Linked DNA regions of Saccharomyces cerevisiae S288C. Each later gene encodes a partner of the first gene's protein in a complex. Each region holds a gene or a part of one and is shown on either strand. Other genes may lie near its edges.

Evidence for each region.
Region 2: POP5 (region 1) and POP6 share a complex: the UniProt entries of both Saccharomyces cerevisiae proteins name them as parts of the nuclear RNase P and RNase MRP complex.
Region 3: POP5 (region 1) and POP4 share a complex: the UniProt entries of both Saccharomyces cerevisiae proteins name them as parts of the nuclear RNase P and RNase MRP complex.

The regions. Positions count from the first base shown.
Region 1 is NC_001133.9:80,894-83,806, forward strand, and holds POP5 (RNA-binding protein POP5), read left to right. Parts: upstream 1-1,812; coding exon 1,813-2,334; downstream 2,335-2,913. Other genes in the region: FUN19 (Fun19p), read right to left, coding at 1-1,058; mRNA splicing protein PRP45, read right to left, coding at 2,442-2,913. UniProt on the Saccharomyces cerevisiae protein: Component of ribonuclease P, a protein complex that generates mature tRNA molecules by cleaving their 5'-ends. Also a component of RNase MRP, which cleaves pre-rRNA sequences.
Region 2 is NC_001139.9:545,102-548,050, reverse strand, and holds POP6 (ribonuclease P/MRP protein subunit POP6), read left to right. Parts: upstream 1-1,893; coding exon 1,894-2,370; downstream 2,371-2,949. Other genes in the region: NAG1 (Nag1p), read left to right, coding at 751-1,242; IMO32 (Imo32p), read right to left, coding at 582-1,610. UniProt on the Saccharomyces cerevisiae protein: Component of ribonuclease P, a protein complex that generates mature tRNA molecules by cleaving their 5'-ends. Also a component of RNase MRP, which cleaves pre-rRNA sequences.
Region 3 is NC_001134.8:727,054-730,303, reverse strand, and holds POP4 (RNase P/RNase MRP complex subunit), read right to left. Parts: upstream 1,420-3,250; coding exon 580-1,419; downstream 1-579. Other genes in the region: SHG1 (Shg1p), read left to right, coding at 142-570; RIB5 (riboflavin synthase), read left to right, coding at 2,202-2,918; RCF3 (Rcf3p), read left to right, coding at 3,230-3,250. UniProt on the Saccharomyces cerevisiae protein: Required for 5.8S rRNA and tRNA processing; associated with RNase MRP and RNase P.

The sequences.
Region 1 (2,913 bases):
AAATCACAAGGTAACCTTAGAGTTTGAGCGAGAACTAGTTCAGCAGGGTGTAGCTCGTTCCTCAGCGGGTCTGTGGACAGGTCCATTGGAGACCCCTTCCACTCGATCTTGAGTGACTTGTTACTGTCTGTAGGAAGCGTAGATAAGGGCGGAGAGTAATCTGGTAATTTTTTCCATGAGACGTTTGGTATATATTGAGGAGCATCATGAATCGCCTCAATGGATGCAATGTTAGTGTGAGGAGTGGATGCAGAGGGTGAGAACTTCTTGGCGCGATGTGGACTGGTAGTCATCGTTCTTCTTTGTGGTGAGTATACCTTGCGTTTCCGTGGTATCCATTCAGTGTCGGATTCAAACTTTCCTAGATTGTTATTGTAGAGAGCCTGTTTCCTCATATTATATCTTGCTTGTCTATTCAAATTCGGAGATGCTAACGGGGAAGGTAATCTAGAAGAAGAGGAAGGCAGAGGAGGAGGAGTCATATCATCATTGTATTTGGAATATTTATGTCTAGCATTATAGGCCAGATTGTTGTACCGGTTGATAATGTTCTTAGAATATGGTTGGGCCAAATTGCTGAAAATTTTGTATTGAGACAGAAACCCGTAGGTGGCGTAGCGGTACCTTTTTCTTGATAACCCATTGGGCCATACAGGCTTCACGAACAGCACATTCTCTACAGCGCCTTTAGGCGTAGATCCCACTAGCACTGAAGAGGCCATGCGGGGTGAGCCATTGTGGCTAATTTTCGACTCCAGCTTGGGCGACAAAGGTGGCGATGGTATTATATGTTCATCAACCAAGGAGTCAATGCTGCCAGAAAAGCATCCATTGCCATTATTTTGTGAGTTCTGGTTAATTCTTACGTCGTACGAGCGCCCATAGGGTGAATTATTGCTATAATCACTCATGTTTAAACCGTTTTTATTACTATCGTTATTGTTGTTACTTGCTTTCAAATTCTGATTCAGACGTCTGAAAATGGACTGCGAATCATCCTTACCAATGTAATTCATATTTAATTGAGACTTTTCAGATTCAGGAGAATATAATCCCATGTTTCCCCTATAAATGTTACGATGCGCGAATATCCTGTTTATCGATGCCCAGTGTATGAGCCATAACGGGGATGTTATGAACCATGTGGCTACTTTTATAAGCGGTTCTCTTAGGAAGAAGGGGGTTCTTGATAGACCCCTGCACCTCATCTAGCGGAGGTGCACGGATGTACCAACAGTTTTAGTGAACATTATTCACTAAAGAAGCATTGGGCATACTCAGAGCCAATGGCAAGCTCGTTTACCAGTTCAAATATGTCGTTTCATTATCTGTATGACTGTCGTAACTTTGAATCGATCTAATGTGTTGACCCTGTCTCAGGCTCACCCATGGCGGCGCCTGCACCTGTGGGTGAAGGAAGAAAGACGATGTTTGTGAGGGAACTGAATTGGGTTGAAGTTCATATCCTAAACAAACACTTCACCAGCCATGGATGCATGCCTTGTCTTTTCGCAGTTGGTGGCATGAAAATATATATCACCCACCAAACCCTCTTACTCTTTTCTTACCAAGTAACTCCAGTAAGTGCTCGTTTTTTTCTTCTTCCATTCAAACCTGCTTAAAAACCTCGACAAACGAGCCCCCAACGTACTACCACAGCAACCACTCTGGTTTTTCTATCTTGTTGTCTTTAATTGCCTCCTGACTTTGTTTTGTTTTGTTCTTGCTTAGCGCTCTTGAAAAATATTTTACTTTTCACTATCAGATTAATGTGATAGCAATAGTTAGTGCAACAAAGAAACAAGTCGATAAATGGTACGTTTAAAAAGTAGATATATCCTTTTTGAAATTATATTCCCACCTACAGACACCAACGTTGAGGAATCTGTGTCGAAAGCAGACATCTTGCTTTCGCATCACAGAGCATCGCCTGCGGATGTGTCCATAAAGTCGATACTCCAAGAGATACGACGCTCGCTGTCGTTGAATCTGGGCGACTATGGGTCTGCAAAATGTAACTCTCTCTTGCAGTTGAAATACTTTTCAAATAAGACGTCTACGGGGATAATCCGATGCCATCGAGAGGATTGCGACCTTGTTATCATGGCATTGATGTTGATGTCGAAAATTGGCGACGTCGATGGACTGATCGTGAACCCCGTCAAGGTAAGTGGGACCATCAAGAAAATAGAGCAGTTTGCTATGAGAAGGAATTCTAAAATTCTGAACATAATCAAGTGTAGTCAATCATCACACCTCAGCGATAATGACTTTATTATCAATGATTTCAAGAAAATTGGAAGGGAAAACGAAAACGAAAACGAGGACGATTAGAATATATTAATATATAGATGTACACGTATATGCAGTAGTTTTATTTTTTTATCTATAATACAACTCAAGCACAAGAATGCTTTGTTTTCCTAGTGCTCATCCTGGGCCTAGGCGCCATAGTTATCCGATTTATCATCGGATTCAGCTTTAGTAAACTGAATGGGGCCGTGAGAACCACTGGCACCTTCACTCTTAACATTGACCGCTTCGTCCAGCTTTTCGTAGTTGGTCTTGTATATGCTTTCAATATCTTGTTGGACGAACAGTGGGTTGTCATAAACCTGGTCTTCATGCCTTTTGGCGGAGGCATTTGCCCCTCTTGTGAAAAATCTTGAATCGTACTGCAGATCCGGTTGTTCTGAACGCTTTGCTGCGCCCAGAATTATCTTTTCGGATACGTCTCTTCCTTGAGAGTACGCCAGCTCTTTTAGTCTGGCCACTGTGCTCGTTTGCTTTTTGGGCTTAACTATTGCTCCCGTCTGCGGAGTCCCGTTGTGGTATCTGGCTCGTTGGCTCAATTCTTTCAATTTAGATTCTTTAGCAAGCATTTCCTGTTCCATAGCAAGCCGCTTCAATTCC
Region 2 (2,949 bases), on another chromosome or scaffold:
TAAAAATAAACGAAGGATGCGTGCTGGGTAGACTTTTAGTAGAACTCTAAGTGTGAAGTATATATACAAATAACAAAAATAATATATGAATAAATGCAGTACTTTATGAAACTCTATTCTTAGCACACCAGTTGAAATACACAACGTAAGCTTTTATTTTTGTATCTTGAATTTCGTGTCACACACTCTTTGCGTTCCTGCTCTCTTGTTCTCTGGTGAACTCGAAATAAGCAGTAGAGAAAATAAAGGAGAAACAGGGAAGAAATGGAGAGAACGAACGAGGCTTTATCTCATTTTATTCTACTCTTTGCTATATATACATACGTACACCTCATTTGCATCATACCGCCCAAATTTCTTTAGCCACAATTCCATGTTCGAACCGCGAACGTGAAACTGACGATCTTATCGTATGCATCAGCATCATCTCTTTTGGCGATTTGCCGTTACTAGGCCTTTAAACTGGTGTGGCACTGCCTACACCCCATCACCACTCACACAATAGTCCGTATGTCATGTGCTACGGCAAGCGCACAGCCACCGACTGGTGCTACTGGCACCTTGCTCCGGGGCGCTTGCCTTTAATCCTCGTGCCGCTCCACAAAATCGACGATGCTTTCGGCACATTCCCCAGGCTTCTCCGCATTTACCCAGTGACCCGCATCGATGTCACGTGTTTCAAAGCGTGGAAAGAACGCGCCGATGATCGGAAGATACTCGTCTACCACATAATGCGATTGAGTAGCCCTGATGAATAGCGCAGGCCGCGTCCATCGTTCACGAGCAGGATCTAGGGGCCACGCGGCAATTTCACCTTTGACAATGGCATCTTTCAGTGTTGCGAGGGGAATTCGTTCTTCGAATGTATATGACGACACAGACGATGAATTGTCCATCTTGACCTTTTTCAGCGCCGTTAGGAGAAACCGCCTTACTAGCTCATTGCCGCCGATCCTCTCTGCAAGGTGTTCATCAGCCTGTTTCAGCGTGCGGATAGTTTTGCCCTTGTCGTTGACGATTTCCATCAGCGCTTTGATGTATTCGACAAACTCAGCGTTAGGGCGCAAACTCACCGGAGCGTTCTCTATACAGACTAACATCGAACAAAGTTGCGGGTTTTTCAGGACCAGCATCATGGCAACTTTACCACCCATTGAGTGTCCTATTATAATAGGGCCTCCATTGGTGTTTAATTCGTGCTTTGTGATAAAGTGTTTCACGTCTTCCGACATGACTTCGTAGTTATGGACTGAACTGTGTGGTGAGGATCCATGATTTCTTAGGTCCAGCAGATACACGTCTCTTCCCAATTTCTTGTTAAGGTTACGGCCAATGCTTCGGTTGTTGAGCTTGTTACCGAATAAGCCGTGAAGTATGATAATAGGTGGTCTTGGCTTCCCTTCATCCCCAGTTTTTACTGCATCTCTCTTGATTATGTCATATGAAAGGTCCAGTGGGACTTGCTTTTGTTGCAGCACCTTTGCTAATGAATGAAAGGCACATAGTGACTGCTTAAAAATGCAGGAACTTAAATTATTCCGAATGGTATTTTGTCTCACATATATTGTCCCATACTGTGCCAGGATCCCGGCTTTACCCAGTATCATCATTGTACCGTTACCAATTCTCCTCGTATATCACGGTTAGTTTTTAAACCTCGGGGTGACGTTTACTATTGGCGTACTAATATATTCTTATTTTCTTTTCTTTTTTGTTGGCAGTTTCAAGCAACACATGTACTGGATAACCAACCCCCGCACGCTCTTGGAAAAAATTGAGAAGGCATCGGACACTTGCTGATGAGTATTTCGAAAAATTCCATGAAGATGAGGCCAAGATTGTTTGGAAGAGATTGAAAAGAAGAAGAAGAAAAAAAGATAAAAGCAAATCAAAATGATCAATGGCGTATATTACAATGAAATTAGTAGAGATTTGGATATCTCTTCCTCCACTCAATGTCTTCGGTTTCTCAAAGAAACAGTTATACCGTCCTTAGCAAATAATGGTAACAACAGTACATCAATACAGTATCATGGCATATCGAAGAACGATAACATTAAGAAGTCTGTAAATAAGTTAGATAAACAAATCAACATGGCAGATAGAAGTTTGGGTCTACAACAAGTAGTTTGTATATTCTCTTACGGTCCACATATTCAAAAAATGTTAAGTATTTTGGAAATATTTAAAAAGGGTTATATTAAGAACAATAAGAAAATTTATCAGTGGAATAAATTAACATCGTTCGATATAAAAAGAGAAGGCAGAAATGAACTACAGGAAGAAAGGCTCAAGGTTCCAATTTTGGTCACCCTTGTTTCTGATTCAGAGATCATTGATTTAAACCTACATTCATTCACCAAACAATAAATCGACCAGCTCTTTAGCATCCATAGCTACTTCTTGCATTTGTACTTTATAATATAAAGCATTTTTAGAAGGCTTAATCGATATCAGAACTACCAATTGTTCCTACTACAAGAAGTATGTGTCATTGAATGAAAGAAAAAAGGATGCATGGAAATAGCACAACTTTATTTATTTTCTTCCCTTTGGAAATCGGAAATTCAATGATATGCCCTCTGATATAATAGCAAAGACATGATCGTTAATTTAGGCCTCGCTTTGAATCCATAAACCACCGCAAAAATGCAAAATCTACGGATCTTCGAAGAGGCCATGTTTATGTTGGTGAAGTTTGTCACAAGAACCCTAAAACTTTCACTAACATATACAGTCTTGACCCATGACAATAAAGGAATATGGAAAAATATAAAAAAAGATTGTTAGGCTCCTACTTAGCAACTTTTCTTATTTCCATATTCTAGTATCAGTGGTCACTGTGAAGTAGTTCCCTTAAACAATTTCTACTTTTCACTAGATATAAAGTAAAATGAAAGTATGCCAAATTCGTGTCTGTGTTAATGCGTGTTTTTTAATAATTTTGTT
Region 3 (3,250 bases), on another chromosome or scaffold:
TGATGGCCTTTTTTTTTGTCTTATTTTTCTATATCTTGAAAACGAGAGATACTAGAGAAATAATACGTAAGAAAATCAGTTCTTTATTTAGCGAAGCTGAAACACAGTATAAGAGAGTAGAGCTTATTTCAAATCCAAAAAATGGCGTATAATCAAGAAGATAGTAAAAGACTATCAGACAAGTATAAGAAGGAGGGACATTTTGACAAGTTGAAAAGAGAAATATTGTCTAACCCATGGAATAATACAGAAGAGAATAGTGAATCTTTTGAACAAGCGCTTCGGAAAAGAGTTGCCAGTACTGTTAAAGAAATGGTTAACGAAGATGAAGAATTAATATTTAAAAACAGAGGGCTAACCAGTGCATTGATTGAATCACAATTGGTCAAGGACAACTACCTAAAGCTGGGTAGTAAAATGGAGGGGGATAATGGTGATGGTGAGAAGAAATTTGACTTGGATGTCTATGTACGGTCTAAGTTACAGGATCCCAAACTATTGGAAATGATAAAGGGACAACTTCAGGAAACACTGAACTCTTATGAAGAGGAAGCAAATGGAAGTACGTAATAACTCTTACTAATTCTGTATATAATATAGCATATCATCACAACGACGACTTTTGAACTTCCTGCCTGCACGATCCACACTTCTGTACTTGAACCTATCGCCTAGTATACTATATCTCAATGCCGAATCGTCGTCATCTGATATTGGGATTTCAAATTGAAATACTGTGCCCTTTTTTGGAATGCATTTTATTTCGTCTATTATATTGCCCTTGACAATCATGATAAAAAATTTCTGAGAGTCCCAGATCACAATGCCTTGAAGGCCTATTAAAGTCTTATTTTTGCTCTTTGTAACGCGTAACAGCGCACCATTATAGTCTGCCATAGATAGTTTTAATAATGCTAATGATCCATTGAATGTTTTTAAGTTTTTTGTAATGTTCAAAAGTTCTTTAATATAGTTAATCCATAGTTCCTTATACATCGGTACAAAATCAACGTACTGCGGTAATGATTCGTATATCGTTGGATGCTTCTCCTCTATGTAGTGTAAAAGGTCTTCCTTATCAGTAATTTTATTTTCGTATGCCAATTTCAGACATTTTTTTGTATTTTTTTTACAATTATTGATGTACTCTCTTAATGCGATTTTAGAGTTCTTGTTGATTCTTTGGTAATCTCTTTTTTCCAACTGTTTGTCTGCACTCTCTAACTGGGAGACCTTTTGTAAATTGTCAAGATTTAGCTTTGATTTTCTTTGCTGTCTCTGAAGCCTTGAAGTCAATCCGCCATCAGTTGGCAGTAGCAACAACGTATCTTGAAATCTATTTTCATTAAAGGGCTTTTCAGGGTCCTCCAGGCATTTCGTGAAAAGACAGTCTTTAATAAACGTTTGAGTTCTATCCATTCTGACAAATAGGGGAGTCCAAATCGTGCTTATTTTCTTTAGTCTTTACAGATTATTGCTCTCCGCTTATTCATGTCATCGAGTATATTTGCCATACTATTTTGAGTACCATTTTTTTTCTCAAATCAACGGACCGGGTAAAAAGCGGATGAATTGGGATATAAAGGCAGTAAAAAGACCACCACAGCTGCAACCACGGAGAATAAACTTCTTTAACTACCCCACAAAGCTGCCAGTAATGCTCAGTTTTCCATCCTTTGCATGAGCTTTCTGTAGAAATTTAACATTGTGCAATTTTTCTTGTATCCAAAAATTTTACATCGATTCAAAAAAAATGAATATTGGCTAGTAAAACTATTCATACTGCTATAAATACACCTGTTATGACATAAAAGCTCAAAAACAATCTGCATGTTTTTTCCTCTTTTTTCATTTATGGCTAGCAATCTCTTTTATTGATTTTTGTCGCGTAGGTATTAATGTTAACCCAGGATTCATTAATGTTGCCTCTGTGGGAACGATTACCCCCGGTAGTTATTTTGTGTTCAAGCTCGCTGTAAAAAGATCACTGTCTTCGATATTGGTTTATATAAAACTAAAGTAGCCGCCCAAGTACTCTCCGGGTACCAATTCCGTCCTTTTCTTTTTTTTCGGTAATTTCCATGGAGGAAGGTTATTGAACTATCTATTAGTCATATTCCAGATCCATCCAAATGATATAAAAAGACGGTACTTCCTAACGTACATGTCAAACCAATTGGTGAGATCGTAACCATAGCACAATGTTTACTGGTATTGTAGAATGCATGGGGACTGTTTTGGAAAACAACCCATATGATGACTCTGAAAGTGGAGGTCAAGGAGTTTCTATTACTATTGGCAATGCGGGGAGTATTCTCACCGATTGTCACGTTGGAGATTCAATAGCCGTAAATGGGGTATGCCTTACTGTGACCGAGTTTAATAACGACTCCTTCAAAGTTGGGATATCACCAGAAACTATAAAACGAAGTAATGTCGCTTCCTGGATTCAAGGCACCCAGGTCAACTTGGAGAGAGCGGTATCTCAAGACGTTAGGTTCGGTGGTCATTATGTACAGGGTCACGTAGACACTGTTGCTAATATTGTCTCAAGAAGACCTGAGGGGAATTCAATTATTTTTGGGTTTCAGTTAAGAGATCAAGAGTACTTTAAATACATAGTAGAAAAGGGATTCATTTGTATAGATGGAACTTCCTTGACCATAATCAAGGTTGACCCACTTTCGCAAGGTGGAGCCTTCTATATTAGTATGATAAAGCACACCCAAGACAATGTTATCATGCCTTTGAAGAAAATTGGCGACGAGGTTAATATTGAAGTAGATTTGACTGGGAAGATTATTGAGAAGCAAATTCTATTAACGTTGGAAAACCAAATATCAAAGAAAGATAGTACTTTGAATACTATGATCTCAAACATTATCGAGGAGAAGGTTAGAAACTACCTAAATAAATAAATAAAAAATTCGTCATAAATAGGTTTCATAAACGCATTTTTGAAGTGATCTCTCCATCTGCTGCAAAAATAGTCTTGTAAATGTGTGATAATGATGAGATTAGAACTTGGTACTGTAGCTAAGGTACTTAGGCAACTTCTCTTCATTATGTATTACCATGTTCTGTTGGTTCACGTGACATGCAAAGGTATAACTTTTTCCGTACAAATTATTCTCTCCACCTTTTTTGTGTTGTTGTGAAAGAACTTTCCAATTATTGCCACTGTAACCAACCGTCCCTAAATACCAACGACACAAAAACTGCTGCTACTATGGGTGGTAACGTTCTCCCC